4 linked regions of the Schizosaccharomyces pombe genome follow. The protein of the gene in region 4 binds, or shares a complex with, the protein of the main gene of each other region. Each region holds a gene or a part of one and is shown on either strand. Other genes may lie near its edges. The genes, in order: img2, mrp20, mrpl1 and mrpl12.

The links.
Region 1: mrpl12 (region 4) and img2 share a complex: the UniProt entries of both Schizosaccharomyces pombe proteins name them as parts of the mitochondrial large ribosomal subunit.
Region 2: mrpl12 (region 4) and mrp20 share a complex: the UniProt entries of both Schizosaccharomyces pombe proteins name them as parts of the mitochondrial large ribosomal subunit.
Region 3: mrpl12 (region 4) and mrpl1 share a complex: the UniProt entries of both Schizosaccharomyces pombe proteins name them as parts of the mitochondrial large ribosomal subunit.

What each region holds. Positions count from the first base shown.
Region 1 is NC_003424.3:585,426-592,717, forward strand, and holds img2 (mitochondrial 54S ribosomal protein mL49), read left to right. Parts: upstream 1-5,641; coding exon 5,642-5,821; exon of another isoform or gene 5,822-5,992; coding exon 5,993-6,130; 3' UTR 6,131-6,727; downstream 6,728-7,292. Other genes in the region: pdc202 (pyruvate decarboxylase), read left to right, coding at 172-1,887; csr102 (sec14 cytosolic factor family phosphatidylinositol transporter), read left to right, coding at 3,500-4,834. UniProt on the Schizosaccharomyces pombe protein: Component of the mitochondrial ribosome (mitoribosome), a dedicated translation machinery responsible for the synthesis of mitochondrial genome-encoded proteins, including at least some of the essential transmembrane subunits of the mitochondrial respiratory chain.
Region 2 is NC_003424.3:399,962-406,903, reverse strand, and holds mrp20 (mitochondrial 54S ribosomal protein uL23m), read right to left. Parts: upstream 4,019-6,942; 5' UTR 3,845-4,018; coding exon 3,359-3,844; 3' UTR 3,092-3,358; downstream 1-3,091. Other genes in the region: SPOM_SPAC31A2.10 (Ran GTPase binding protein), read right to left, coding at 1-401, 444-636, 736-770, 872-940, 980-1,102; AP-2 adaptor complex subunit Apm4, read left to right, coding at 1,655-1,663, 1,702-1,766, 1,825-3,091; ATP-dependent RNA helicase Dbp10, read left to right, coding at 4,710-4,932, 5,033-6,942. UniProt on the Schizosaccharomyces pombe protein: Component of the mitochondrial ribosome (mitoribosome), a dedicated translation machinery responsible for the synthesis of mitochondrial genome-encoded proteins, including at least some of the essential transmembrane subunits of the mitochondrial respiratory chain.
Region 3 is NC_003424.3:1,789,023-1,796,480, forward strand, and holds mrpl1 (mitochondrial 54S ribosomal protein uL1m), read right to left. Parts: upstream 3,430-7,458; 5' UTR 3,222-3,429; coding exon 2,460-3,221; 3' UTR 2,378-2,459; downstream 1-2,377. Other genes in the region: ftp105 (Ubp5 interacting protein Ftp10), read left to right, coding at 1-670; protein saf5, read left to right, coding at 1,603-2,256; poly(A)-binding protein Crp79, read right to left, coding at 3,571-4,929, 5,001-5,475, 5,567-5,744, 5,830-5,950; protein Mmc1, read left to right, coding at 7,278-7,458. UniProt on the Schizosaccharomyces pombe protein: Component of the mitochondrial ribosome (mitoribosome), a dedicated translation machinery responsible for the synthesis of mitochondrial genome-encoded proteins, including at least some of the essential transmembrane subunits of the mitochondrial respiratory chain.
Region 4 is NC_003421.2:1,157,839-1,165,912, reverse strand, and holds mrpl12 (mitochondrial 54S ribosomal protein bL12m), read right to left. Parts: upstream 5,458-8,074; 5' UTR 5,404-5,457; coding exon 5,369-5,403; intron 5,320-5,368; coding exon 4,833-5,319; 3' UTR 4,578-4,832; coding exon of another isoform or gene 3,921-4,577; 3' UTR 3,597-3,920; downstream 1-3,596. Other genes in the region: SPOM_SPCC4B3.06C (NADPH-dependent FMN reductase), read right to left, coding at 123-725; protein Nro1, read left to right, coding at 1,863-3,044; Lsk1 complex gamma subunit lsg1, read left to right, coding at 3,921-4,577; ipk1 (inositol 1,3,4,5,6-pentakisphosphate (IP5) kinase), read right to left, coding at 5,787-7,696, 7,753-7,765. UniProt on the Schizosaccharomyces pombe protein: Component of the mitochondrial ribosome (mitoribosome), a dedicated translation machinery responsible for the synthesis of mitochondrial genome-encoded proteins, including at least some of the essential transmembrane subunits of the mitochondrial respiratory chain.

The sequences.
Region 1 (7,292 bases), on a different chromosome or scaffold from region 4:
TCTAAGGTTATATCTTTTTAACTTTTAGCTAGCAAACTCACTTGTTCCTTTAAGTTCAGAAAGTATCTGCTGGTTATTCAACAGATAATTATCTTGCGAAAAAGGAATACACACTCAGCATTGTAATTTGTTGAGTATATTTCACAAGCACATTAAATTGCATTATCAAACATGAGTGGGGATATTTTAGTCGGTGAATATCTATTCAAAAGGCTTGAACAATTAGGGGTCAAGTCCATTCTTGGTGTTCCAGGAGATTTCAATTTAGCTCTACTTGACTTAATTGAGAAAGTTGGAGATGAGAAATTTCGTTGGGTTGGCAATACCAATGAGTTGAATGGTGCTTATGCCGCTGATGGTTATGCTCGTGTTAATGGTCTTTCAGCCATTGTTACAACGTTCGGCGTGGGAGAGCTTTCCGCTATTAATGGAGTGGCAGGTTCTTATGCGGAGCATGTCCCAGTAGTTCATATTGTTGGAATGCCTTCCACAAAGGTGCAAGATACTGGAGCTTTGCTTCATCATACTTTAGGAGATGGAGACTTTCGCACTTTCATGGATATGTTTAAGAAAGTTTCTGCCTACAGTATAATGATCGATAACGGAAACGATGCAGCTGAAAAGATCGATGAAGCCTTGTCGATTTGTTATAAAAAGGCTAGGCCTGTTTACATTGGTATTCCTTCTGATGCTGGCTACTTCAAAGCATCTTCATCAAATCTTGGGAAAAGACTAAAGCTCGAGGAGGATACTAACGATCCAGCAGTTGAGCAAGAAGTCATCAATCATATCTCGGAAATGGTTGTCAATGCAAAGAAACCAGTGATTTTAATTGACGCTTGTGCTGTAAGACATCGTGTCGTTCCAGAAGTACATGAGCTGATTAAATTGACCCATTTCCCTACATATGTAACTCCCATGGGTAAATCTGCAATTGACGAAACTTCGCAATTTTTTGACGGCGTTTATGTTGGTTCAATTTCAGATCCTGAAGTTAAAGACAGAATTGAATCCACTGATCTGTTGCTATCCATCGGTGCTCTCAAATCAGACTTTAACACGGGTTCCTTCTCTTACCACCTCAGCCAAAAGAATGCCGTTGAGTTTCATTCAGACCACATGCGCATTCGATATGCTCTTTATCCAAATGTAGCCATGAAGTATATTCTTCGCAAACTGTTGAAAGTACTTGATGCTTCTATGTGTCATTCCAAGGCTGCTCCTACCATTGGCTACAACATCAAGCCTAAGCATGCGGAAGGATATTCTTCCAACGAGATTACTCATTGCTGGTTTTGGCCTAAATTTAGTGAATTTTTGAAGCCCCGAGATGTTTTGATCACCGAGACTGGAACTGCAAACTTTGGTGTCCTTGATTGCAGGTTTCCAAAGGATGTAACAGCCATTTCCCAGGTATTATGGGGATCTATTGGATACTCCGTTGGTGCAATGTTTGGTGCTGTTTTGGCCGTCCACGATTCTAAAGAGCCCGATCGTCGTACCATTCTTGTAGTAGGTGATGGATCCTTACAACTGACGATTACAGAGATTTCAACCTGCATTCGCCATAACCTCAAACCAATTATTTTCATAATTAACAACGACGGTTACACCATTGAGCGTTTAATTCATGGTTTGCATGCTAGCTATAACGAAATTAACACTAAATGGGGCTACCAACAGATTCCCAAGTTTTTCGGAGCTGCTGAAAACCACTTCCGCACTTACTGTGTTAAAACTCCTACTGACGTTGAAAAGTTGTTTAGCGACAAGGAGTTTGCAAATGCAGATGTCATTCAAGTAGTTGAGCTTGTAATGCCTATGTTGGATGCACCTCGTGTCCTAGTTGAGCAAGCCAAGTTGACGTCTAAGATCAATAAGCAATGAGCAAGCTATTGAGAGTGGAATTGGCAAACAAAGTTTCCTTTGATTTATATGTTTTTTATGATAAGCCCATTCAATTCATATAGTCTTTTAGTATAATGATTAGTTATTAAATTTATGTTTAAAGCAACTTTTTAGTTTAAAATTTTTCAAGTCAAGTTAGGGTGTACGTAAACAAACAATACCTTGGAAGCAATGAATGAAAAGGTAGAGTTAATCCAAACAATGTGGAAACCAGTTTCCTTGCATCTACTTACTAGTTTCGCAGAAAAATTGCTAAACTGCTTAAAAGCCAACTTTAACATTCTTATTTCTTACATAGGAGCTACCGTTCCATTCACATTGTGATATGCTAAGAATTTATTAGTTTTACAAAAATTGGGTGATTCTACTATTTAATACAGTGGTTTTGTAACGTAATGAAATTATAACGCTCGTTTATTACGATTTCCTAGGTAATGTAGCGGGTAAAGGCAATTGACTGATATTATGTATCACTCTATCACAGCAACGGACGAACGGTTTGCGTTGTTGTTTATAAATGGTTCTGCAACGCAGCTTCTGACTTTGACACTCTACACCACACCATACTTCAGCGCTCTATTCTTTCGCATAGGAAGGTAAGCTGCATTTCGTGGCGTTTGGTACCTTGAAAAAATATATTTTGGTTAATATTCGTTGGCTTTTTCTTTTAATTCTTGCTACTAATTCCAAGAATTGTGTAAGTATAGGAAGAGGCTGTGTTGATCGGTTAGTTTCGTAATTTCGGCATACTAGTGATTCCTAAAATACCGACTACTAATAATTATAAAGCTTAGATCACTTCTTTGGCTAAAGTAATTAAACCAGGAAGTCTTAAAATTCCGCTTTTTAGCATCCTAAAAATTTCCCCGTCATTTCTCAAAAGTGTTAAACGCGTGAATGTTCTCAAAGCTCTGTTTTCTTTTCTTTGCTTTTTGAACGGCTTTGTCTTTGCATTAATTTTTGTGACGCGTTTTGTGCCTCCAATAGGTAATTAATCTAAATCCGTTTAAAAAGTTGTAGGTGACTTTTTATTTTATTACGTTTTGCTTTCATAAAAAAATCCATTTCCTTCTGTGCGTTGCATATTCATTAATATATCACTTTGATATACATTAAGGTGAATTAGAAATTATTGAGCTCCTCTCCCTTTGTTATTATTTCACGCTTTTTCTCAGGCCCACTTATAGTCCTCTGAGGAATTTTTTATCTTTTTTTTTAAAATACCAACTCAGTTTTTGTCGAGTGATTCTTCTTTTTTATTCATTCATTCGGTTAACTAAGTTCCCTATATTATTTTGTTTTCTACTACAAGCATTACGTTTTGTTTTTCAGTGAGCTTGTTTCGCATCTCTGACCAAAAGGAAGCAAATTGACGGCTAGTGTATTTTTGACTCGTCACATTCTTTTGTCTATCTTTGCCAATTTTTCAAATTATTATATATCTTCGAGATTAACCTCCATTCTTTAGGCTTATTCTCGTAATTTCCTTCTCAATTGAGTTCAATTTTATTAATATTGATTTCATCTGATATATTTTTTCCTTGGACTTTTTCTAGATTATATTTGTTTGCGCGCAATTTACTTATTAAATATGCCTGAAGGAGCCGGTAGACCGTGGAATCTCACAGAACTTGAAGAAGAGAAGTTGAAGACTATGTGGAGTTATTTGTTTAAGCTCTTCGGCATTACTTTACTCGAAAGAACTGAATCTTGGTACACAGTGAAGACACACTTATCTGATGATTCAAGTAGTTCCTCATCACATCGTTTAAGCAGCGTCTCATATGCGAAATCCCGTACACGACTTGAACTAACGTCTTCATCTCATGGCTCGGACACTCGCAGTTTTAATGATAAAACCAAAAATGTGCATTTGGAAAGAGTTGAAAAAATTGCAAGTGAATGGGACCCGGAAGGGCTTAGAGTTTGCTTTTGGGATGCTGTTAATTGTGATGATCCTGATGGCCTTCTACTTCGTTTCCTTCGTGCTCGAAAATGGAACGTTGAGGCTGCGTTGGAAATGTTCATGAAAACCGTTCACTGGAGAAGTAGAGAGATGAATGTTGGTGAAATTGTATGTAACGCTGACCACCTTGATAAAGATGATGATTTTGTGCGTCAACTAAGAATCGGAAAGTGTTTTATATTCGGTGAAGATAAACACAATCGTCCAGTTTGTTATATTCGCGCACGTCTTCATAAAGTTGGTGATGTCTCACCCGAATCGGTTGAGCGACTCACAGTTTGGGTCATGGAAACTGCTCGTTTAATTCTCAAACCTCCTATTGAAACTGCTACTGTTGTTTTTGATATGACTGATTTCAGTATGTCCAATATGGACTATGGGCCATTGAAATTCATGATCAAGTGTTTTGAAGCACACTATCCCGAATGTCTGGGTGAATGTATTGTACACAAAGCGCCTTGGCTTTTCCAAGGCGTTTGGTCCATCATCAAATCTTGGCTTGATCCAGTGGTTGTCTCAAAGGTTAAATTCACTCGTAATTATCGTGATTTGCAACAATATATAAATCCTGACAATATTTTAAAAGAATTCGGTGGGCCTAATCCATGGAGATATACATATCCAGAACCCTGTCAAAACGAAGCAGAAGCTCTGAAGAATGTTGAAGCTCGTAAGAGTCTTAGAGCAAAAAAGGATGCAATTGCTAAACAGTACGAGGAAGTTACAATGGATTGGATTTTGAACAATGGTGACATGGCAGAAGTGAAACAAAAACGTCGTAAGTTAGCTTCACAACTTATTGATGCATACTGGAACTTGGATAAATACATCCGCGCACGCTCAGTTTACGACCGCATGGGCCTAATTGCTCCTCAAACTTCCCATACTTTGCTTCTTTCTCAACCTACAAATGGAGATGTCAAAGAATCAATGGTAGAAGTTACTAGCTCGGCAACTTAGTCGGTCGTAACTTTCAATATTCCTGCTATTTTACATTGTAATCCTTCCCCTTGCCTATACTCCCGTATACTGACTAATTGTACTTTCCCGTGTTATTCTAAATAAGATGCTGGCTCAAAATATGATTGTATCATCTATTAATGCATAACTTTCAAGATCTTTTATATCAATTAGTTACATATGAAATCTCTTTCCTACGTTGATTTTTACACCCCTTTTCGTTTTACCATTTCCTTATCGCTTTAATTTTTTAGCACTCTCTTTAATGCACTTAAAATCATCTAGAAAGGGATAACTTTTTTTAGGTCTTATGGCTTTTCATTGAAGTTGTTGGTCGCAATACTTATCCATCCATTTTGTCTTTATTAGAATCAATGATCAGTTTTATTTGCAAATTAACTTAGATTTCTTGCTATTTATTATTATTTTTTATTTTATTGTAGGAAAGCGGTTCGAAATTAAAAAAAACAACAAGCTGAACACCTAAATGCCTACTCCAAAATATAGTATTAATTTAATGAGTATGCACCTTCGCTGAAGTATATTCCGTGCCGTAAAAATACTTTCGAGTTTAAACACGCGTGAGGTTCAAGCACCGATTAAATTTATTTAAAACAAGAGCGTTTTATTTTATTTTAATTGTTCTTAGTGAATCACTTAATCTTAGGCTCCTGTTTGACAGTTGTTTAAAACTTACAAATTTTTGGAGGTTATGATAGAAATCCTCTTTATTCGCGAATGCACGACGACTTCTTTTACACATCCACCATAAATTCCTGCAACTCGTAGAAAGTTTTGTTGAACCAAATGCGATCATCCTTAAAGCCAGTGCTATCAAATTTGAGGTTCAACTCAACAATTGCATCCGAATCACTTCGGTTTCATGTTTCACGTACACCTTCAAAAAATCTCCCAGTCTATCTAGACTACAAACAACGAGGAACGAAAATTCTGACTTTAATTCGTAAAATCCATGGTGATTCTAATGTAAGTATACATATTCCGTCAGCAGTAATCTCTTGGCTAAAGAAAGTACAAGTAAAGTCACTATGCTGCGGAAATTGTTCTATCAACTTTTTGCTTTAACGGCCAACCCAAGTTTATTTTAACTTCTTTTATTCGTTCTCTTTTTTTTTTCTAACAATATTTTATCAATAGGCTTTGCGGCTCAGGCTCATTTCCACACTTAAAATGTCACCGAAAGATGTTTATGTAAACAAGTTAACAAATCAAGTTGTCCTAAAGGGAAATCACATAGTCACAGTTCGTGAATGGTTACAAGACCAAGGTTTTTAAGTTCCTAGAATTTTTCCTTTTTTAGATTGTTACTATGTATGTACGTATCCTTCTTTCAAAGGAATGATAAAGTTGCTTTTTATCAACATAAAACTCTCGAGCATATATATCAATTTGGCTTTTTAGCATATTACTTTTACTTCATCTCCTTGTTACAGCGGTGATAATGTCAAATAAAACACAGCTGTTGCAAATAATTAATCTCGATTCATTTCTTCTCATCATACGTGGTTTTCAAACTTGACAATGGAAAAAATGCATCTTTTGTGATGGTTTTCCTTAACTACCTTTAAATAAATAGTTATTCGAGCTTCAGTAGAAACATTCAAGAGGTACTTGCGTAAAAAGAAATTCAAACATCTGCTTAATGTGAGGCGTCCAAATGCTAAATACAATCTTTTTTTTGCTACCTATTCGTTTGTTTTGTTGAATTTATAAACGCTTAAAGGAAATTATAATATATATATCGAAACTCCGGTGTTTTTATTTTTTGACTGTAGTTATAGACAGAATACGTTTAAGGCTATTAGGGTATATAACTAAATTAAAAATTCTTTTCTCAATATTGTATAGTTTGTAAATTGACAAATATTAAATGCTATATCGAAAACATACCTTCAAACATAATCTATATATCTGCGTCATACGCCCATGGACTGTTCTTTACCTTTCCCTTCACACATACTTATAATCCTGAAATCTCAACGACTTTTTCATTATTTTTGAATTGAACTTGGATTTGTCTGTGATAGGAATATTTTGACAAACATTTTTAGCTTTTAAAATTTTTGCTTTGTTCTGAAGACGTTGATTTACAATTTGCTTATGAATTAATTATTCACGAGAAGAAAATTCCTTGTAGTTTATCCCTTTTTTATTGGTGATTATAAGCTGAATAACTCTTAATGTTGGGAATTATATTTTCTTTAGTGAACTGAGGCTTTCTCGAAAAATACTTACGGTTATCCATGATTTAATGATTTTCTGTTTTTTTTGTTATTTTTTTTTCGTTTATCAAAAAGTGGTTAAGCATTGACACGATATAAGGCACTTTATTTCCGTGTTGAATTTTTTGTTTTGTTTTTTCTTGACATTAATACCTTACTTTCCTTGAATGCGAACAAACCGCATTCATTTGTATTCGATTATCGAAAGCCTTTTA
Region 2 (6,942 bases), on a different chromosome or scaffold from region 4:
ATTTCAAGTTTTTTCCCAAAAACTGGCGCAGACGTCGGTTTACCAACTGTTTCTTCGTGATATCTTCCATCATTCAAATCCTCATCTATACAGATCACGTAAGAAAACTTTTGCGACGCAGATACGACGCGTTTAATATACAGATCGGACTTTGCAAATGTCTCTTGCCATCGGACATCCAGTGGCCCATCCGATTTGGAAGGTTGAGAAAACGAGGTATACAACACAACGGTGAATTTAGGACCTATTTGAATCTCAGTATGACTTTCTTCGAACCTCTTATCAGACAATTCCAAAAAACATTGAGCTTGAAGGAGTCTGGATGGCGAAATAGTATTGCTTAAAGCTGTGTTAAGGGTTATGCCCGCCGTTGTCAATGATAGGTTAATTAGAGGAATAGTCTATTACAGATTAGTAAACAATCATTGACTTCATGAATTTACCTCCTCAATTTCTCTTAGTAATACTTCACAACGGCGGAAAATTTTTTCCGAAGCTTCATCCGCCTTTTCAGGGCTTTTCTTTTCTGAGCCAGATGCTTCATAATCAATAAACTCTAGAAAATCATCAATATGGTCTCGTAGCCTGATGATCAAGGGAACTAAATTCTGAAGACTTGAATTTCCACGCGCAGCACTATTCCAAGTTAGTTTCATCGACCATAACGGACTACAGAATTAAACAGTCAATTGTTTTACGAAACAGTAGCTTGGTATTGATGTATTAGAAACTTACACAAGTTGAATTAAATCTACGGCTGGTGTAATAGCCTGTAAAATTCAAGTTAGTGGAAAAGCAAAATTCAAGAATTAACAGACATTAAGTTCTCAGTAAAGAGCGTATTTTCACAATAATCGCTCCTGTAGCATACCTGTATTTTTTGCTCTAAACGCGACTTTACCAACTCCAAGTTAAACTGAGAGGACTTTGGAGCAGACGTCTAAATTTGTTATAAACCATTTTTAAAAAACCAACATACTTGTATGTATTTAGAGAATCGTTTAGCAACTAGGGAACCAGCCAATTGAAGTCCAGTTCTAACAGCATAAGCTGTTGCATATGTTGCTGCAGTAGTTGTAACCTTCGATAAAACTTGGTCCATGTTTTATGTAATTACTGTAAGTATACTAGTTTATACTAAATCCACTTGCATTATGAATTGCAAGAAGCGAAGTTGAGGAATGAAAAGTCGTTGGTGTAATTTAAATACCTACTTACCTCTTTATAAGCATCTTATTAATATGCGATATCAAACAAAGATAGAATTGCTTCAGCAGTTGCTAGTTATTGCAAAGACATTACTCGACATTCACCAATTTAAATTGGTAATGACCGCAAGACAGTCGAAACGTCATCTCTTTTACATGATTCTGTAAGGACTGTAAATTTTAATGTATTGCTTGCTACTGCCTCAATCATCCTACTAGGAAATAAAGTTATTTAATTTTATTAAAAGCATCTTGTTTACTGACAGTTATATGGCATAATTTTCTCCTATTCCATTTGCAATAAAATACCTCTTGGACCGTCTACGTTTATTCTTATAACGGGGTTGAATAGCCTGTACGTTTCGTTGCATATCGTTCAAAGCTACGTTCAACTGCCTGTAGTCAGATACTCAGTACTTGTTACATTTGCATATTATCAATATTCCATGATTTCGGTTAGTATTAATATTCTATTTGTAGCTAACTATATTAGGGATTGTTTATTTTTAACCTGAAAGGTGACACGCTCATTTGCAAGACTTTTCGGCATGATTTAAAGTATGTAGATTACATTTTTGTGCTTTTGATTCATTTTCACTAATTTTTCATTTGAAAGGAAATCAGTAACTGAAATTTTTCGCGTTGCTATTCTAACAAATACTGATTATCGGCACCCAATTGTCAGTATTGGATCAAGTACTTACATTTACACGAAACACGAGGATCTTTACGTGGTTGCCATTACCAAAGGAAATCCAAATGTTATGATTGTTTTGGAATTTTTGGAGAGTCTAATTCAAGATTTGACACATTATTTTGGGAAACTGAATGAAAATACAGTCAAAGACAATGTCTCCTTTATTTTCGAGTTGCTGGATGAAATGATAGACTATGGTATCATTCAGACTACTGAACCTGACGCACTTGCAAGATCTGTCAGCATAACAGCTGTCAAAAAGAAAGGCAATGCACTGTCCTTGAAAAGGTCTCATTCCTCTCAGTTGGCACACACCACTTCCTCTGAAATACCAGGGTCTGTACCATGGCGTAGAGCTGGCATTAAGTATAGAAAAAATAGTATCTACATTGATATTGTTGAAAGAATGAATTTACTTATTAGCTCTACTGGAAATGTGCTACGCTCAGATGTTTCTGGTGTCGTGAAAATGCGTGCAATGCTTTCTGGAATGCCTGAATGTCAGTTTGGGCTAAATGATAAGCTTGATTTTAAATTAAAACAATCAGAAAGCAAGTCTAAATCAAATAACTCTAGAAATCCGTCCTCAGTTAACGGAGGATTTGTCATTTTAGAAGATTGCCAGTTTCATCAATGTGTTAGATTGCCGGAATTTGAAAATGAACACAGAATTACTTTCATTCCGCCGGATGGTGAGGTTGAATTAATGAGTTATCGTTCACATGAAAACATAAATATTCCTTTTAGAATTGTTCCTATTGTCGAACAGTTGTCGAAACAAAAAATTATTTATCGTATCAGTATACGAGCAGACTATCCACACAAACTTTCTTCTTCTTTGAACTTTCGGATACCGGTTCCCACAAATGTGGTAAAAGCTAATCCTCGTGTAAATCGAGGAAAGGCAGGGTACGAGCCCTCTGAAAATATTATCAATTGGAAAATTCCCCGGTTTTTAGGCGAAACTGAACTTATTTTTTACGCTGAGGTAGAGTTATCTAATACAACTAACCAGCAAATATGGGCGAAGCCTCCAATATCCTTAGATTTCAATATTCTTATGTTTACCAGCTCCGGTCTACATGTGCAATACTTAAGGGTCAGTGAACCTTCTAATAGCAAATACAAAAGTATTAAATGGGTAAGGTACTCAACTAGGGCTGGAACTTGCGAGATACGCATTTAAGAAGTATTGTGATACAAAATTATTATTTTATTAATTGACGACCGTGCTTTTCCGACATGAAAAGAATTTCCAAAATAGTTTTAGAACATTTCAAAATGAAACAAGTGGCGTTGAAAGTTTAATAGATGAAAGAAGAGAGGTTATAATGAATGCAATTAAACACCATACCGCTTCGATGAGGCATTTGAGGCTATAATTATGCTTTTGTAGGCATTAATGAATAGACGGAAACCAAAATAAAACATTACCTGGGAAATGAAAAAAATACTAATACTTTTTCTTTAAAAGTCTAGCGATTTTCTGTTGTGATTCGAGTATCTGCTTATCTTGTAACTTACTTAACTCTTCGTTCACCCGTTTCATGTCAACTTGTTCAAGGACCTTTGGATACCTGCTCAGGGTTTTCACATTAGAACCATCAGGAAGTAATTCACCCTCCTGCCAATCTTTCAAATCATTTGGGGCATTTGGGTAAACGAAAGGTTCTTCCATCTCAACGATGACGCGTTTTTCAGATTGTGGTCTCTTAACCTGTCCTAGTTGATTTCTAAAAAGTTTGCCCTGATAAATTCTTGACTTAACTGATACGACTTTTAAATTGTACACATGTTGCAAATAATCGCGAACATCAAACTTGTTAACATGAAGAGGTACGCGAAATACTGCAAATTTAGGTTGAAGATTTAGTCCTCTGCATAACGTGAACGTTATATTTGGAAAGTACACTAATCTTTTCCCAGCAATTTTACTCATATTTACTATTGAGTTTCAACTTCAAGGCTAAAGCAACTTGTGCTAGTTATGCAAAAAAAGAGAAACAAATGGTTTTTCTCAACAGTAGATTTCAAGATGAATTTGATGTCAACGGCCTTAGGTAAACGATTAGTTATTAACCATTTGTTGGATTACGGAGTTCAAATGTTGTTTAGTACTAACGTGCTGAGAATCCGGTTGCTTTATTGCATCAAAGCTCAGTTGTATACTATTAACAAATAACGTCTCTGGTTGTATTATCCTAGAACGTAATATATGTAAGCTACGCAATTTGGTATCTGATTTAAGGATACGTAGAACTGCGGTGAGTTTTCCTTGTGATCTATTATATTGTAATACGCAAGTAGTATAAGTAGGAATTGGATATAGGTATTCTAATATATAGGATATATCGTTATCTATAGCTGAGATATCTTATAACTGAACTGAGGAATCAAATTCAGTTGTTCTCAATTTATAACATTTGAAATAACAAGGATTATAACTGATAGTCATCTTATCATAAATGATATTATATCCTTCTAGATAACTTATCATGTAAAGCTGATAGAGCAAATAGAACATTATGAACATGTGACATATAGTGATACACAACGTAGTATATCGTAGCGTAGTGTAGTATTGCTGACATATAAAGCAGCTTATTTCAAGTTCGTTATAGTTTATTAAAATACGTTGGATTACTTATTTTTAATATAAAGAAACGCAGCAGAACAATTGAAATGAGAATGTTAAATCAAACTTAAGAAGGCCCTTTTGATAGTTGTTATTCATACGGTAAATTTTCTTGCCAGCGACACTAGAGAACTAAAAAATCAACAAAAGTGCAGCTCACTCGTCTTAAATGTCCGGATTCCAGACGTCCGACGAGGTCGATATATCAAATTCTTTAAAAGCTTTTCCTGTTGATATTGCTACTGATAATCAAAAAGATAAGCACGAAAATGTTGGTGAAAATGTGAGCGATGAAGATGATGGTAATTATATTGCCTCGAAGCTTTTGGAGTCTAACAGGAGGACGAAGGGAAAAAAGGGGAATGGAAAGGCTTCTAATTTCCAATCGATGGGTATGTTAACTTCGTGATTACTTGCCATAAGGTCACTTTGCATTATGCTTCAAGACACTGTAATCTAAATTACTTTGATATTTTTCTAACTTAATTATAGGATTGAATCAAACTTTACTTCGAGCAATATTTAAGAAGGGTTTTAAAGCTCCTACGCCGATTCAGCGCAAAACGATTCCCCTTTTATTGGAAGGTCGTGATGTTGTAGGTATGGCACGTACTGGATCAGGTAAAACTGCAGCTTTTGTTATACCTATGATTGAGCATTTGAAGTCCACTCTAGCAAACTCTAATACTCGCGCCTTAATTCTCTCGCCAAATCGAGAACTTGCTCTTCAGACTGTGAAAGTCGTCAAAGACTTTTCTAAAGGTACGGATCTTCGATCTGTCGCTATCGTCGGTGGCGTCAGTCTAGAGGAGCAATTTAGTTTGCTATCCGGAAAACCCGATATTGTGGTCGCAACTCCTGGAAGATTTCTACATTTAAAGGTGGAAATGAAATTGGAGTTGAGTTCAATCGAGTATGTCGTTTTCGATGAGGCCGATAGACTTTTTGAAATGGGTTTTGCTGCTCAATTGACAGAGATTTTACATGCTTTGCCGACTTCTCGTCAAACTCTTCTCTTCTCTGCCACACTTCCACGTACTCTTGTTGATTTTGCAAAGGCTGGACTTCAAGACCCGGTTCTTGTACGCCTTGATGTAGAATCCAAGGTTTCCGCGGATCTACAAAGTGCCTTTTTTTCTGTTAAAACCGCTGAACGCGAAGCTGCTCTCTTATGTATACTACAAGATATCATTAAGCTTCCTCTAAAAGATAACGTGCGCCCAAGAGAAATAGGAAATGTCAATAATCCGAAGAAAAGAAAACGTGCATTAGAATTAGCGCTTAAAGGAAGTGAATCTGGATCACCAGATTCTACTCTAGTATTTGTTCCTACAAAACATCATGTCGAGTATGTTTCTGAGTTACTTGTTCAAGCAGGATATTCGGTTTCAAAAATTTACGGGTCTTTGGACCAAGAAGCGCGTCTCAATGAAATTAATAATTTTCGACTTGGAAAAACAAATTTACTAGTCGTTACAGACGTAGCTTCTCGTGGTATTGACATCCCATTACTTGCTAATGTTATTAATTATGATTTCCCTCCTCAACCAAAAGTTTTTGTTCACCGTGTAGGACGTACAGCTCGAGCAGGACGCACTGGCTGGGCGTATTCATTGGTTAGAGCAGAAGATGCTGGTTATTTATTAGACTTACAACTATTTTTAAACCGACCTTTAGTTACATCCTCGAAGCAGGTTAAAACTGACTCGGATTGTGATTTTACAAAACAGATTGTTTTGGGATCATTACCCCAAGAACTTGTTGCTGAGCTACTAGAATGGGTACAAAGAATAGTTTCGAGAGACGTTGAGCTACAGCAACTTTCCAACGTTGCTGCAAGGGGTGAGAAACTATATTTTCGCACAAGAGCTACTTGTAGTGCTGAGAGTGCTAAAAGAGCTAAGGAATTGGTTGATAGCAAGGGCTGGAGTTCCAACAATCCATTATTTGGAGATGTATCGGTAATTGAGGCCGAGGAGAAATATGCTGAATTGCTTTCAAAAGTTTCTTCTTATCGGCCATCAGAAACAGTATTTGAAATCGGTCAGCGTGGTCACTTAAAGACAGAAGCTGCAGAAATCATGCGGAAAAGAAGAAACAAAGTAAAACCAAAAGGAATAAAATCTGAAGTTGCATCTGATAAAATCACTGACAGTTCTCCTGGTAATATGTCAGAAGCTTCAGAGTCAGAGCTTGAAGAGGTATTTAAAAATCCTAAGGAGTTATCAAAAAAGAAGACAACTGATTTTAAAGATAAAGAGTATTATATGTCTCATTACGCTCCAAAGGAATCTATTCAAGAAACTGGCTATGCTATAAATTCTGGTGAAAATTTTACTACCGCAGCTCGTCATGCTATTCTCGATTTAACAAATGACGAAGGAATTGAACAATCAAGGAAG
Region 3 (7,458 bases), on a different chromosome or scaffold from region 4:
CGGTGGCTTATCACATATTTCGAGTAGAAATGTTTCGATTTCTGTCCCGACAGTCCTTCAAGATGTATTCTCAGATTCTCCATTGGTTCTGTCTAGAAAGTTGCGTGGGAAAATACCGGAAAATGTTTCTAGTTCAGAACTTATTAAAAAATGTGCATCCAATCCGTTTGGAAAAGATTTAGAAATTGACTCAAATTTGTTTGCACCTTCCAACTCGTGGTTTAATTCTTGGCATTCAAGACTTGAATTGGATTCTATTCTAGCCATTATATCTCAGTTTTCTCTACCTGTATACAAGAAAATGAATGAAGAATTATCAACTACTGACGAAGCTGTTAAACTATTAGCTAACTCTGTGCTAAATGATGTACATCCTCGAGTTCCCAATTTTCGCTACTTTATTTGGAGTGTCCCTATGAATAATTGGTTTCAAAGTCTTGTTTGGCTTTATACTTTGTCATTTGATGAAAAAGGTTTAATGGCTACTCCCTCTTTATTTACAACCTCTAAAGTGTACAAACAACATGGAAATATCATGAAAGTTGCATCTCCTGAAAACAGTTCTAACTCAATGGAGAATGCCACAAAATCTATACTTGACAAACTCGATTTGCTGTATTTACAGCTGCCAAGTAGTGTCAACCACGATTCCAGTTTACGCAACAAGTGATTCTTAAATTCAATGCGTAAATTAAAGTATACTTTTGTCCTAAAAAATATTTGAAGAAAACCCTGCATGCATGTTATGGTATCTTACTTTGAAAATTTATTGATTAAATTGTTCACTAAAAAATTATCTTGGAGGATTTGCATCCACATACTGCCATCATTTAATTATATACTGATGACCAGAATCTTGCCTTGCTAATTTTGATTTTTGAACTTTTCGATTTGTTTTCATTCTATTAATTAACTAAAAACTGGCTTGGAGAATCTTCTGCTCCAACCTTGTCACTAGCTTTAAAAAAGTCTTTCGAAGTTTGATTTGGAAAGTTGGTGTTTGAAAGTCAATCTCGTATACTTTAGAAAGACCCACCTTTATGAGAGAAACGATCCACTGATGCTAATTCATTACATGTATCCAAATCAATGTATAACCTTATATAGCAATGAATTGGTTGCTAAAAAATTCTTAGCTTTATTTCGCTACACTTATAAATCTGTTTACTATATAAAATAAAAAATCCAATTTCAAAAGTTTTGAGTCCCAATTTTTTGGGTAACGAGGATTACTTCATAAAGACCTTAGACCTTTCCTTTATTTTTTCCACAAAACTATTTATATTCATGAGTTTGTTTTGTAATTGCAATGAATAACTAGCTTGTCATTTACGAAAATTGCATATCAAAAGTATTTGAGTAAAATCGATATCCTGTTTGGCATAATGGTTCAATTTATAAAAAATTCGTGTGGTTAAGAGTAGAAATATATTTTCGATTTTGCGAAATGCTTAATATGCGAAGATATTGTATTTGAGTACTTCAAAAGAATACAACGCACAGTAAACCTTTTCTTTCAATAAATTATCAGGTAGAGGTGGCCTTATTACTGTTTTTTAATAATTTTTATGCTTAAATACCTATTGGAAGCAAGAAGTAATTATGATTACCAAAATTGACTCACTTCCAAAGGACCTAATTCGCAAAGTTGAAAATGGTGAAAAGTTGTTGCCAAATCAAGAAATCGTTTATTTTGAAGAAAAAACAGTCCCCTATAAAATTAGAAGTGATGAGGAAAGTTTTCCTTTGGGCAAATTGATAACTTTATTAGTAACTTCACAGAGCTTTATCCTTTTTGATGAAGAACAGAATTCTGGCTGGAAAATTCCATATGAAACCATTACTCTTCATGCGAAACAAAGCAAGGATAAGCCATATGTATATGTTCAATTAGAGGGTGAAGCCATTCGACCCTTGCTAGATCACATTCTTAAATTTGAACGGTCGTCAGGAACATTGCATGAAGCTCCTTCTACCGAAGATGAAAATGAATTCACAGATGATTTTTTAGAACTAACATTATATGTTACTGATGTTGATTCATGTTACCAGGCTCTTTGTACTTGCCAATCTCTACATCCGGACACTTTTTCCTCAGATAATGATGTTGAAAACGCGAGTATGGGAAACCCTATGTCCTTATTTTTTGATCCAAATCACCAGTGGGTTACGGCTGAAAACGTAGATACCTCAGCTTGTGATAACAGATTTGATTCTCCGGAATCGCCTGTTCTGAAATGGCATCGCACAGAGTAACTTTCATAATGTTGTATTCTAACGTTTCATTCATACTTTTTAAAAAGTAGTTTATGATAATAAATAAATATAAACAGGCTTCTAAATTTACTAGATAAAATATCATTACACATTTCACTAATTTGTACAAAATTAATCATGTAATACATATTACAAATGACAAGACTGTAGACTAAATTTCCCATGCAATAACATTTTAATCATTATTTATACTGGAGAGGAATTGCAATAGCATGTGAGGCGGAAAGATGAACATGCTTTACGGTAACTTTAACTTTTCCAGGCAGTTTGGCCAAAGTAAACCGAACATTTGATACAAGTGCTTCGATGTTTTCTTGTAGCTCCTTGTCGCTGAACCCTAGTTTTCCAACCGGCAAATTTATCGAGCCTGCATCATTTTGCCGATAGTCAACAGCTGTGAGGGCAGATTCAATGAGTGGCTTCAATTCATCTGATATAGTACCTCGTTTTATTGAAGGCATAAGACGTTTTGATCCTAATAATTTAGCAACTTGTGGTAGTAATTCTGCCGAGTTGGGATGAGCAAAGCACTTTGAAAATTCAAGGGGCTCTGTTTGAATTTTTTTTACTAAGTCTTCTGCACCAACATAGGTTGCACCCAATTTTAAAGCTTCATCTGCAGCTGCACCTTTAGCAAACACACAAATTTTAGGAGGCTCTTGAAATGGATGAGGAAAGGCAATTTGACCACGAGCTGACGGAGCGCGTCGATTACTTTTTAAAGCAATTGAAAGCATATAAGACCCAACATATGGAACAGAAATGCTCACAGATTTGAGATATTTTGTGGCTTCAGGAACTGTCATCGCAAGAGCGGGAAAATTGGATTTCTTGTTTAGTTGAGAAATAAACCTTTTGCAGAAACCCTTTTGATTTTTAAAATTTAAAAATTCATTATGTGACAATAATGTTTGCCGTTTACCTAACGCTATTAATGAACTCATGGTTTTTAATCTGGTTCGTCAAACTGTCACCAAGCTACTGGATGTCAGTCAATGAACCTGCTAAAATCATAAATCTCTAAACAAATCTGATCCAGCTGTCAACTTTCGAATTAATAAAGAATTATCTTTCAAATCAAATTTCCTTATAATGTTTTTGATTAAAGACTAAAAATAAACGGTTTCGTTTAAATTCCACGTTGTGGTAGTTGTAAGATACTGTAGGGTTATACTAGCAAATCCATCCGTTCACGATGTATATATTTTAAGGAGTTAAAAGTTTGTTCATCGGAGTTTTGAGGGATATAGCATTATGAATTTTGTTTCATAGTTATATCTTCACCGCATCTTGTTAAATCTGCGTCAACTGAATAGTTGTTGGTGAATTGTTGTTAACCTTTGTTGTTGATAAAAAATTTTCCTTATTTGAATCTTTAATATGATAGGAATTCATTTTTTGGATATTGGATGTAGCTTCTGGATAGCTGTCCATGTACCCGACAAGTGAAAGCATGTTCGTTGACTCATTACAGTCCTCATCTTGGAAATGTGAGGGCTCAACTGTTACGTACGTAAGAGTTGTACAGGTTGTTGCTCTTGCTCTTGGCACAAAGTATGCATTACTCAGCTTTTTGTTGTGAAGCATGTCTTGTATCTTCTTCAAGTTGGTGGCTGTTGAACCCATCTTAGCAGACCCTCGGTTATTTAGTTTTGTGTTAGCATGGAATACCAATGGTTTTAACAAGTTTCCTTGTTCTCCGTCATGGCTCAATTTTCCTGCTTCTTTCTTTATATCCAAGTTGCCTGATAACTGTCCACTAAGTTCCTTATTTTCTTGCTTACAGTTAACATATTCATTTGTCTGACTGGGTTCTTTGTTTTCACCAGTCTTAGGCTCATTCTTATTTTCAACCTTACTTGAAAGGGTCGTGGGATTCTCAGAGATTTTGTTTGTAGAAGACTCTATTGGCTTTCGGATGGTAACAGTAGAGCTTCTTTCTGGTTTGACGAACAAAGCTTTGTTGTCTTGCTGCGCTGTTTGTTCTGAAGTAGGTTTGTTTGCAAAAAATGCTTGCAATCTACGAATTCTGTCAGACTTTCGCTCCGCGAAGCAAACGAAAATCCTTTTTTTCCCAACCATCATTCCATTCAATGTGTCTTTGGCTCTAACGGCAGCCTCTATTTGACGAAACGCTACGAAACCATAACCTTTGGAGATTCCTGAATTTGGATAGCATGCTAACATGGAAGACAAAATCGACCCGAAGGGTGAGAATAAATCTTCCAGCTGACTCTTGCATGTGATGACGGTATCATCTAAATTTTTAACGTATAGATTTGAAGGGTCAATAGGAGAATTAGGGATACTTGGAGAGCTTTCACGTAAAGAGTCCCAATGCACGATTGACTGAGGTTTATTATCTGGGTTCCAAGCGGCTGGATGATTTTGCTGATTTGAAACACCGGTAGTTGAAACGCTACCCCATTGGCTTTTCTCCTTAGTTGGTGAGCCCATAATCCATGTCATCTTCGAACATGTAGCATTTTCGATATTTATTTGAGTTTTGTTAGCGTTTTCCGATGGGAAAGGCCATAAGCTTTCACCAGTCGGCGTTGTGGGAATTGACTTCACTGAAGAAGAGGCTTTATTTTTTATACTGACCTCTAAAATGCTTCCTTTGTATGGAACGTTATTTAATTTTTCTATTGCCTTAATAATGAGGTTAGTATCATGAAATAGATTATGCAAATATTGGGGTTTTCTCTTCATATTGAGCTTACATTTTGACATGATTCAACTGAATCCATAATCACTTCGCCATACCGGAACCCTCTTTGGTCAAGAAACTGGCTGACCGCCGTCCCTTTTACTACACCAGCCTGTTTAAAGTGGTTATATAAGTCAATCGGTGTGACTTCGGCAGGTAGGTTCAAGATACTAAGGGGTAACGTAGAAGCGAAGGCATTTGGTACAACTTGCATGCTAATATCTTCCAAACCAAGAGACGGTATGGTAAGCGTTGTTTCTGGCTTCGGGTTACGCGAATTTATGCCTCTCACAGTTTCCCAATTTCTTTCTTCGACATTTGGAATAAATTCCTTAATCTGAGACTGTTTGAGTCCTGGCTTAACGTTTTCCTCATCTGTATTGTTTTGGATGCTAGGATTGAACACGTTCGCAGTGATTGACGTATCGTTAGGTTTGAATTTTTTGTCTGTCAGTTTCGCAGGATTTACGACTCTTGCTTTAATGGTCCTTTTTTTTAGGTTAGTAATTTTTTGGAGAATGATTTTTCGATTTTTTTTTCTGTAATGCTTGTCTCTAATTTTTCCCTTCAGTCACTTACAATTTTCTTTGGCCCAGAGTCATTCCTTTAGCGTCCTTTAGAACTTCTTCAATGCTTTCAGCATTAACGAATTTGACGAACCCATATTGCACTCCATTTTTAGGAGGTTTAAAAGGTTTCGCTTTTTCCTTAGGATAAAAACTATCAAGTAATCGACGAAAGATGGATTCTACTTGTCCTAAAGAATTGATTAATATATCGCTTTTATTTATGTTTTCTAATGTTTTTCCTCGTGTTTTTATCCTTGACTTGTGTGTTCATACCATATTTTGAAAAGTGTTTGATGATTTCTTCATCAGAAAGTCGGGAATCTATATTTCCTACATATATAGTACTGCTTTCATCTTCATACTGTCCGGGGACAGAGAGTTTTGAATTGTTCATTTTATCTCAAAAAAGATGTGTGATGGAAAGGAATGGTTGTTGTTTTTGGTATATATAGGATCGCTGTTTGTTTACATTTCGATGATGCATGACTGAAACTATTACCACCATAACAAATGAGAGTAAACAAACCTTAAATTGACCTCTTAACATTTTTAGAGTAATATTTTTTGTTTTTTTTTAAAAATGCTTGTTTTATATTTACAACTTGATTTCCTAATATTCATGCAGTTTGGTTCATATCTGTTTTATCCATATCTCTACTAAATCCTCAAATCGCATTTATAATGACATTTTATTTTATTTTATTATTAAAGTCAATATTACCTGCTCGCATTAAAAAATATTTCAAATTCATACCATCCTTTTTTCGGCTTTCGCTGATTTCAAATTAAAAGTTGAATTTCCTTAAATGAATCAAAAAGCAATTAGGCTAATATTCTGGTGAATCCATTCATAAATTTTCAATTATTGTTGTTTTTGGCAAACCAACTGATATCGCACAACCTGTCAATAAGTTAGGTCAATCAGTTTATTACTCAAAATCCAGATGTTACTAAATTCTTTCATCTGCTTTTTTCTTTGGTTTTCTTTGATTTTAGAAGTATGATAGTTTAGAGCTTTACTCGCCTATATTCTTTGCTAACTAACTATACAGTATTTTACTGGCAAAAGGTAATAGATTTAGATAAAATAAGTTTGAATCGAATGACCATTAAAGTAAGTGAAAAGCAATAGGTGAAGATTTAGTGTAATCATTAAAAAGGTTATAAATGTTAGCAGTTCTCCAATATTAAGAGCAATTTATGTAGCTCATTTCAGTTCCTTCTAATCCATTTTAGACTTAAAGCTTCATTCTGTCGAATACCGTTTTCTTCAAATACTTGTATAAACCTCGGATTTTGTCACTGTTTATGAACAATGAATTCGTCTAAATTAACAAAATGCAAAATTCTTTGTTTTTTTGTTTTTATGATTGTTTGACTGAACAAATAAATAAACATATACAGATTTAAGGGTTAACAATATCCAATGATTTTCCAAGAATATTATACTGCTGGGTTAAGGTATTTTGATATAACATCTACGACACTACTCAATAGACACAACTACTATACAACCTTCGGGTGCCATCAGACAACAATTATTCACTATAGTATTTGTTTTAAGAATTATTAACTTATTAGTAAATGTTTTATTGTGTATTTGGAACTTTAACTAATACTATCTAAAATCCGGTAATCTCGTTCCTTTTTGGCTTTCGAATCTAGTGTGGTTCATATGCGATCCTTTGTTGTGATTAGTTTTTCATAGGCTCAGAGAAATTATGCTAAGATTTGGAATAAAAACATGGAAGCGCTCTGTGTTGGCGATACGCAGGTCGTCGACCGCTCCACATGTGCAGATCATCTCCAATTTGCAAAAAAAGCTGCTCAATGAGCTTTATTCTTTGAGAAGATTAGTCGATGACAATTCTCCTGCAACAATTCGTGTAGGAAATGTCTCCC
Region 4 (8,074 bases):
GTGAATAAAATCTAAAACCAAACAGATTTACTGGAAAATTGGCTTTTTAAAAAAAAACAAAAAACAGACTTTATTAAATGCACTCTATACTAGCTTTCAAAATACTCTTATGTTTTAATTATCTAGGGTTTCCTTTCAGGATTGCTTTCAAACAACTGAGAAAACTCACCGAAGGCTTTCTTAAGTTCACCAAGGTGCTTTGTAAATTCAACCGCTGGGTCGACTACACCTTGAACAATTTTATCTCTGGGTAACGTGAGCGCTGGCATGGTAGGCGCGACTCGCATCTTAAGAAAACCGGCAACATGTTTTAGTTGCGAAGCACAATCTCCTCCTCCATGGCCACCATAGCTTACAATCAAAAGCGGTTTTCCATTCCACTCGTGATACAAGTGGTCTAAGGCATTTTTAAGGATTGCAGGATATCCACCATTGTATTGCGGAGTTACAAAAACAAAACCATCTGCTCCAGCAATTTTGGACCCCCAGGCCTTAGTATGTTCCTGAGTGTACACATCTATTCCCATAATTGGAAGTCCGGGTTCATCGCTCATAGATAGAGGCCAATCAGTTAAATCAACTTTTTCGTAGTCAAAATTAGTCTCTCTTTTTCCCATCTCACCAACCCACGTTGCAATAGTTGGACATAAGCGTTTGCTGCGAACGCTTCCCATAATAACCAGGATTTTGGGAGTAATCTTCAGTAATTTTTCAGGCAAGGTCATGATGTTAATAATGTAAATGAATATCTGAGTATTCTTTTACTGTGTGAAACAATGTAGTGCTTTTATAAACTAGCATGTTGTTATGTCCGAGCCTCGGACATGACTAATTGTTCAAGATAACTTAGTAATATTAAAAAAATTAGAAATTCTGTCATCAAATGGTAAAAAAGGCTTTATTTTGTTTTATAATTGGCTAACAAACTTTCAATTTCATCTAGTACATTCATCCTAAGTACTTATTACTTCGGCACCTGAATCAAGTAATTTATTGATATGGCGACCGAAATATATATACTAGTGCTGTATTTTTAAGGTGCTGGAGCAATCTTGGTCCATTACCATAAAGCAGCCGTTTAAAAAAATTAAAATAAACAAACTCGTTGATCAGATATCGTTCAAAAACTAAGAAACGAATTCAAATTCCCTGCCAAAGAAACGGTCAAAACCACATAAAAGTTGCGATTTCGTATTATATTATTGTTTAATAAAGATTAGCGTTACATTACAAAACTGCCAAATCTTCAATGTTATCTCGTGCTGGCAATTTTGTATAGCACCTTTTTGCGCCATAAGCCCTAAGAAATATTGCCGCATTTTGAATATCATAGATCTCCTTTACAGAAACCTATCTTAATCAATTTACTAAGTTAAATTTCGGCTAGATATGTTTACTTCAATTGCTCTAGATCCGCTGAAGTCATAAAGCTTTACTTTCTTCCATCTCCTTTTTAATTTTGCTCTTTTTTTTTAACAATGAAAATCCAAAACGTGTTAATGTATCTTGCTGCATAATTAGATGTTTAAAATAAGCTTCCCCTTCACAATTTAAAATCATCAATTTTTGTAAACAAGTCAATATGTACGACTGTATTACGAGCCTCTATACTTTCCACTAATACATTTTAACATGTCAAGTTCTCCAAGCTTCTGGTAACTCGTTTTCCACAGCCACAAAACGACGGTATTGTTTTTGTTACGCCATGCTCTTATTAGGTTTAACGCACATGGCCGACAACGCAACAACAATACCACATTACGTTGTAACTTGCTAACAAGTTTCCCGCGCGATTTTTGGGTAGAAAAAATCACTCGATGTCAACGCTGCCTTAGCAAAACAGGTTAATTTAACGGTTCGTTATGATTGGAAGAAGACCTCAAGGTCTACGCGCTGCTGCTTCTTTAAAGAAGCAGCAGCAGCTTGAAAAACAAAAGCAAGAAGCCTCTTATGAGCTGTCAGGAAACTCGTCTCCTAGTAAGGAAAACGGAAGCGAAAATGTCGACAATGGAGAAATGGAGGATGAGACAATGCTTGTTTACACAGAGGAAGACAATATTTCACAACTTTGGGGTTTATACGAGATGAGTCGCGAAAAGTTGGAAAATGACGATATAGATGCTAGTGTGAGCCTTGTCTTTGGTACCATTCACGAGGCTGATAGAATATTACGGAATACCGAGGACATTTCTACATTACCCAAGGACTTTCACGCGGCCTATTCCTCCGCTCTTTTGGCTGTGTCCGAGCTTTTCGAAATTGCACAAAAGCGTCTTAAGGAAACCAATACCGAAGAATCCTACATAGATGCTGCAATCGAGAGAGCTCAACTTGGCTTGGATGCTCCTGGCAACGAATCGAGACTTTTCCTTGCTCTTGCTCGTGCTTACCTTGAGAAGGTACGTGTTCTTGTTTGGCGTCACGATAACGAGGAATCTCTTGCCAACATCCCGGTCACTCAGTTGGTAAACCCATATATTGAGAAGGCCATCCAATACCTTCGTCCTCTTGCTCAGGATTCCACTGAATATTTTGATGCTCTTACCCCCGATTCTTTACGCCCATTATACATTCTCTCTTCCTACCTCTTTCAATTCGGTGATCAATTCTCTGAAGCTTTTCTCCTTGATGTCTGTTCAATTATAACTGCATTGTGGTTAAAATCTGTTGTCGATCCCAACACTCCTGCCTATTATAAGTTAATCGCTCAAGAGGCTGTTCTAAATAATTATACTACCTTCGCGGAATATTATATGGATTTGCTCGACAACAGTGAAAGTAATGTAGATGACCTAATCAACAAGGCTTCCAGCTGGCTCAACAATTCTGTCGATACCTGGAATGTTATTTATACTCTGGATAAATCTCCTGAACGCTTGTTAAAACTTGCGGATATAAAGATGGATCTGGCTCAAATTGTTCAAGACGAGGCTAGTCAGGATAATTACTTGAAGGAAGCTTGCAATGCTATCAAGGAGGCTCAAGGATCAGGTGTTGAGTTAAGTCCTGATTATGTTGAGTTTGTAGAAGCTTATTCTGCTTAGGATCGCTTTTACTTGCAACTTGACGGGTGTATTTCCATTATATCATTATCCCGTTGTTATATTTTTCTCCTTGAACAATACATCCTGCATTTTTTTTCTCTTTTCGAGAGTATTTTTCTCCATTATATTTACTTTTTAGGCAAACCTTATAAGTTTGTCGCTGGCCATTTTAGATTTCAAAGCAGTTCTTTATTGAAAGGAAATGTTGATTTTGTATGTACGACTTAGTAGAGCGTATAAAAAAATAAAAATTGTTTACTGATTCATGGGTTTCATTTTACCATATAAGTAAGGTCGGTTTTTGTGCTTTTATTAAAGTATAGTAGTTATTCTTTCCCGCTATTTATACTCAGAGATCCTAACAGTTTGGTGAATGGTTATAACTTTATCAGGGCTATATAAAAATATCTTTGAAAATTTACTATTTCGCTGTTGAAATTACTAAAAAAGTAGTATTTAATAAAATGAGATTTTAGTTTCTTTAAAGGTACAGTAATAGTGTTTGAAATAAAGTAACATGCTACTTAAAGCAACAGATTTTGCAACATGCTAACAGTTTGAAGACCTCTTAATATTACTTATGCACTGAGTATATTTTAATTTATTTGAATCTGGAAAGGTTCAACGTCCTTTCGCAAAATAGTATCCCAACGCTTTTTTTAGTCTCAAATTTCAGAGATTGCAGCTTCAAGAATAGATGAACACTTGGCAAAGGAAGTTTATTCTATATTTGAAATTTAAGACAACACACATTATTATTATTTAAAAAATTATTCTTGATGTTTTTGGAATTCAAAGTTCACGAAGTATAAGAAAAACCATCATAACAAAAATCGTTGTTGCACTCGCAATTACCAATATACTTGCAATAATAAAATGGATCCATTTGAGGGCCGCATGACATTTCTACAGCTTTTGGGAAAATTGAATGCATCGCAATTCTCTCAAATTAAACCCGCGCAATTTGCAATTAAGCATCTAGACTTGGAAGAAGACTTATATTCATGTATATGGGAGGAACTAGAGTCAGGTTCGTTCAATACAAGAGTGAATATCATGTACTTTGTGGACACACTCTGTGAGATGTGCTTAAAAAATGGCCTTACAGGTGGATATCTTAATATGATTAGTAGAGATATCTGTAAGCTAGTCCAGAACGTAGCTCCTATAGGAGCTGCTGGAGCTGCTAACGCTCCAGAGGTTAGAAAAGTACTCCAGTCTTTGCATGAAAAGAAGGTAATCGATGATAATCAATATAAAGATGCTATGGCTACGGTAGAAGCCCATGAACAAGCGAGCAAGTCAGGTGATACCAGTACTTCAGGAGCCATTTCAAAAAACGACATTCTTAAGAGGATTGAAGAAGACAGAGAGCGACACAAAAGAATGCGTGAAAACATTTGGGCTATTTCAGAACCAGAGTTAGAAGCGGAAATTGCATGGAACACTACCCAAGGAATTACTGAAAGCGATTTGGAATCCCTAAAGGATGAATACGAAAAGTTTAATGAATGTCTTCATGCAACTTCCTGAACCGAAGAGCGAAAACATAGAGTGTAACCCAAATAGAATAAAAACATATAATTAACTAATAATTTTGGAGTATTTTATACATTACCTAATATCTGGTTTTTTTAGAGATGATGAATTTTCCCTCCGTAGCTTAGTTTTTATGGGAATCCAAGAAAGTAAATCGTGTCACAATGTCAAAGCAATAACAAAAAGGTTGCCCAAAGAATTTGAATGGCGGAAAAGCATAGAAATGAAATTTTTTATAAACAACCCAGTTTATTCGAGGACTACTTTACAAGAAAGTTTCTCTAACTTCGATTTTATAGCTTCAGCATCCTCTTTCAAAATATTTTCTTTCAAAACCTTTGGAGCACTTTCAACGAATTTCTTTGCGTCCACAAGAGATAATCCCAAAAGAGACTTCACCTCTTTGATCACCTTGGCTTTCGAACCAGCATCAAACGATTCGAGTTTCAAATTCCAGGTGGTTTTTTCCTCTTTCTTTTCCTCAGGAGCTTTCTCTTCAGAAGGAGCGGCTGAAGCTACTGCTGGAGCCACTGCTGCCATCGGAGCTATTTCAGCAATGTTTAACTTCTCCTTTAATTGCTTTACAAGTTCAGACGTCTCTAACAATGATAGAGAGCTTATTTTGTCAACCATTTCCCCAATTTGGGCATTATTGTTTTGTACAGATGCGGCAGCTCGAAATGATCGCGTGTTTACCAACGATCTTGCCCAGTTCTTACTGGAAGATAAAGCACGTCTTTTAAAGTTAGTATAAATTTGTTAATTAAAAATAATTACAATCTTACAGATTTCTTGTTTGGCGTGATGCGATGCGAAACATGCTGTATTTTAAAATTATACTTGAGGTGAAGTAAGGTGCAAGTGAGATGGGGGTTGGCAAGTTAAGTATAGTAACTACAACTTTTAGGTGATCATTCATCAAATATCTAAAATATGTTCAATGGATCTTATTAATTTTTCATTAGTAATAATTAGAAAATAAACTAACCTCGTAGTAAAAAATGCTCTAGAATTATTAAGTGTTCAACAGTTAGTTGAAGAGAACAAATAAATCTAACCCTTTATTTTTATGCTTTTATCTCCCTGTTAATTATCAGGCATATAACAAATAAAACAAAAATGCATAATGTATTGAAATATTGCAATAAATCCACAAATTGATGGTGGTATTACATATTAGAAAAAAAATTAACAATGAGATAATTACTTTATGCTGCTCCGGCATGCTTTGTCAGTAGACTTCATCCCACGACCATAGTACCAACCGCCTTCAATCAAATTCCTTTCATCACGTTCCCATTTAGACATTTTGGTATTCATGTCTTTAGGATCTAAATCTAGTAATGTTATGTGATCTTTACCAATGTATAAAGTCACATCTCGAAGGGTCATCGCTAACGCAACATCAGTACGAGAGTATTGCTCTTGTAGGTCACGAAGCTTCCGTAGTATACCAGACTGAAACAATCTCATTGCGATATCAGGACTCACAAATCCTTGAAGACAGCACAAAAACTTGGGCCAATTGTTGAAATCAAGCTGTAGAGGACAAAAACCAACGGGTCTACCACGCATACGGCTAAGGGCACACGTTCGACAAACAACCCAGTCAGGTGGAGCGGCAGGGGACTGAGTCAACCATTTTGGTTTCATTTCAATTCCATCTTTGAGATCTTTCATTACCAAACAGTATTGCTCATTTAAATTTAAATAAATACCAGAAGCATTTTGGGCCGCCAGCAAAAAATCCCTAGTAACTGGCTGCAAAAAAACCTCAATTAAAAAGCTTTCCATTCCAGCAAACAAAGGATAAATTACATTTTGATAGTATTCATAAACTTGTTCTGTAGTAAAAACCTGTCCTCGACGTCGAAGACGAATTACCTTGTCTTGAAAGTAAGGATTTTTACCAACATACTCAAACACCACATTCGCACTTCCTGAGGCAAGGTATGCCCATTCAGAAATCACCAGGGATTTACCGGTGGAGGAATGATTGGAGATAACGGATGTTGGTGAATAAGGTGCAGGGGATTTAAAAAGCGGATTCGATATAATTGGAACTTGAAAATTACTACTAGCAACCGATTCATCTTGGGACTCTACACCAGAAGAAAGGGCTTTCATGGATGGAGGACGCGACATAATTGGAGTTGAAGGAGTATGTGTGTCAACGGGAGAATTTGTAACAGAAGAGCTAGCGGTACTAGCCATAGGCGAAAGGCTTACCTGAGACGCTGAAGTATGCAAATTCTGAGCGATGAGAGAATTCATGGCATCAATTTTTCCAGCTTCCCACTCTCTATTTGATAAAACATCACCAGATTTTGGAAGTTCTACGGGAGGACGGTTGTTGTTTACGGCAATTAAGGAAATGCTTTCAGCAGCCTGGCAAACTGAGGAAAACTCAACGAGCCACGTTTGGGGAATATCGTCTTGAAAACAATCCCAAGGGCGAACAATGTTGTGCATTTTTCGAAACATTTGAAGTTGCAAGCAGTAAAAATGCTTCATAAGTTGTCCAAAAAAAACACGACTTTTTGCAATAAGAGTTGGGAAGGACAAAGTTAAATGCTTCTGAAGGTCATCCAATTCACCATTGACACGGACAAGCTGGCTTTGTAATGCTTTAATTTTACTTTTTTTGGTTTCAGGATCAGGCAATTCGTAAACAACCAATAATTCTTTTTGAATTTTTTCAAGTTCTTTTACTTTTTTATCTCTTCTTTTAATCATTTCAACTGCCTTCTTTACATAGCCTTTGACCTCCTTGCAAGGAGCAATAACTATGACATGGAAATTTTGCAGGGCAAGCAAGACTTCACGACGTTGACGTTCCAAGGCCTTGTTCCAATCGACCAATGTTCCGACAGAAGCAGCAGGTTGTTTTTCAGGAGGTAACTGTCTGTACAAAGAAATCCAAGAGGCAGTGACGGAGGGAGCTATACAAACCATGCATCTCCAAGCATCATAGAAGAGTCGAGAGTTATCGATTGTAGAACGAATCGCTTTATCTAATTTGTGGATCTGATCACTCCACTGCTCAATTTGTTGATCAGAAGCAGCAATATCTAATTGTTTAGGTTCTTTTTTAGACGTAGTCTTTGTATAATCTTTTGTAAATTAAATTAGCACACTATACAAATTCAAAGGAAGTAAGAAGACATACTTTTTAGAGGCATTTCAAATTAATAGAATAAATAGGATGCAAAAAAGAAAAGAAGAAGGGTAGAAAATGAGAATAGACCAAAATTCTGAACGAAATAGTTGTAAGAGAAGGAAAATATAACCAACTGGCTGATGAGTAAGTAAGTAAATGTGAATTGAAACAAGAAGCTCTAGGATAATTTTCTAGTCTAATAAGGCGGGAATTTTTGATGCTCAGCAAGGATTTGGCGGTTTGACAGGGAAGGTAAATCTTGGGGATATTCCCAAAGGAAATCAGAGGTTCTCGTATTATGGTATTAAATGTAAAAATAAGTTAAAGAGCA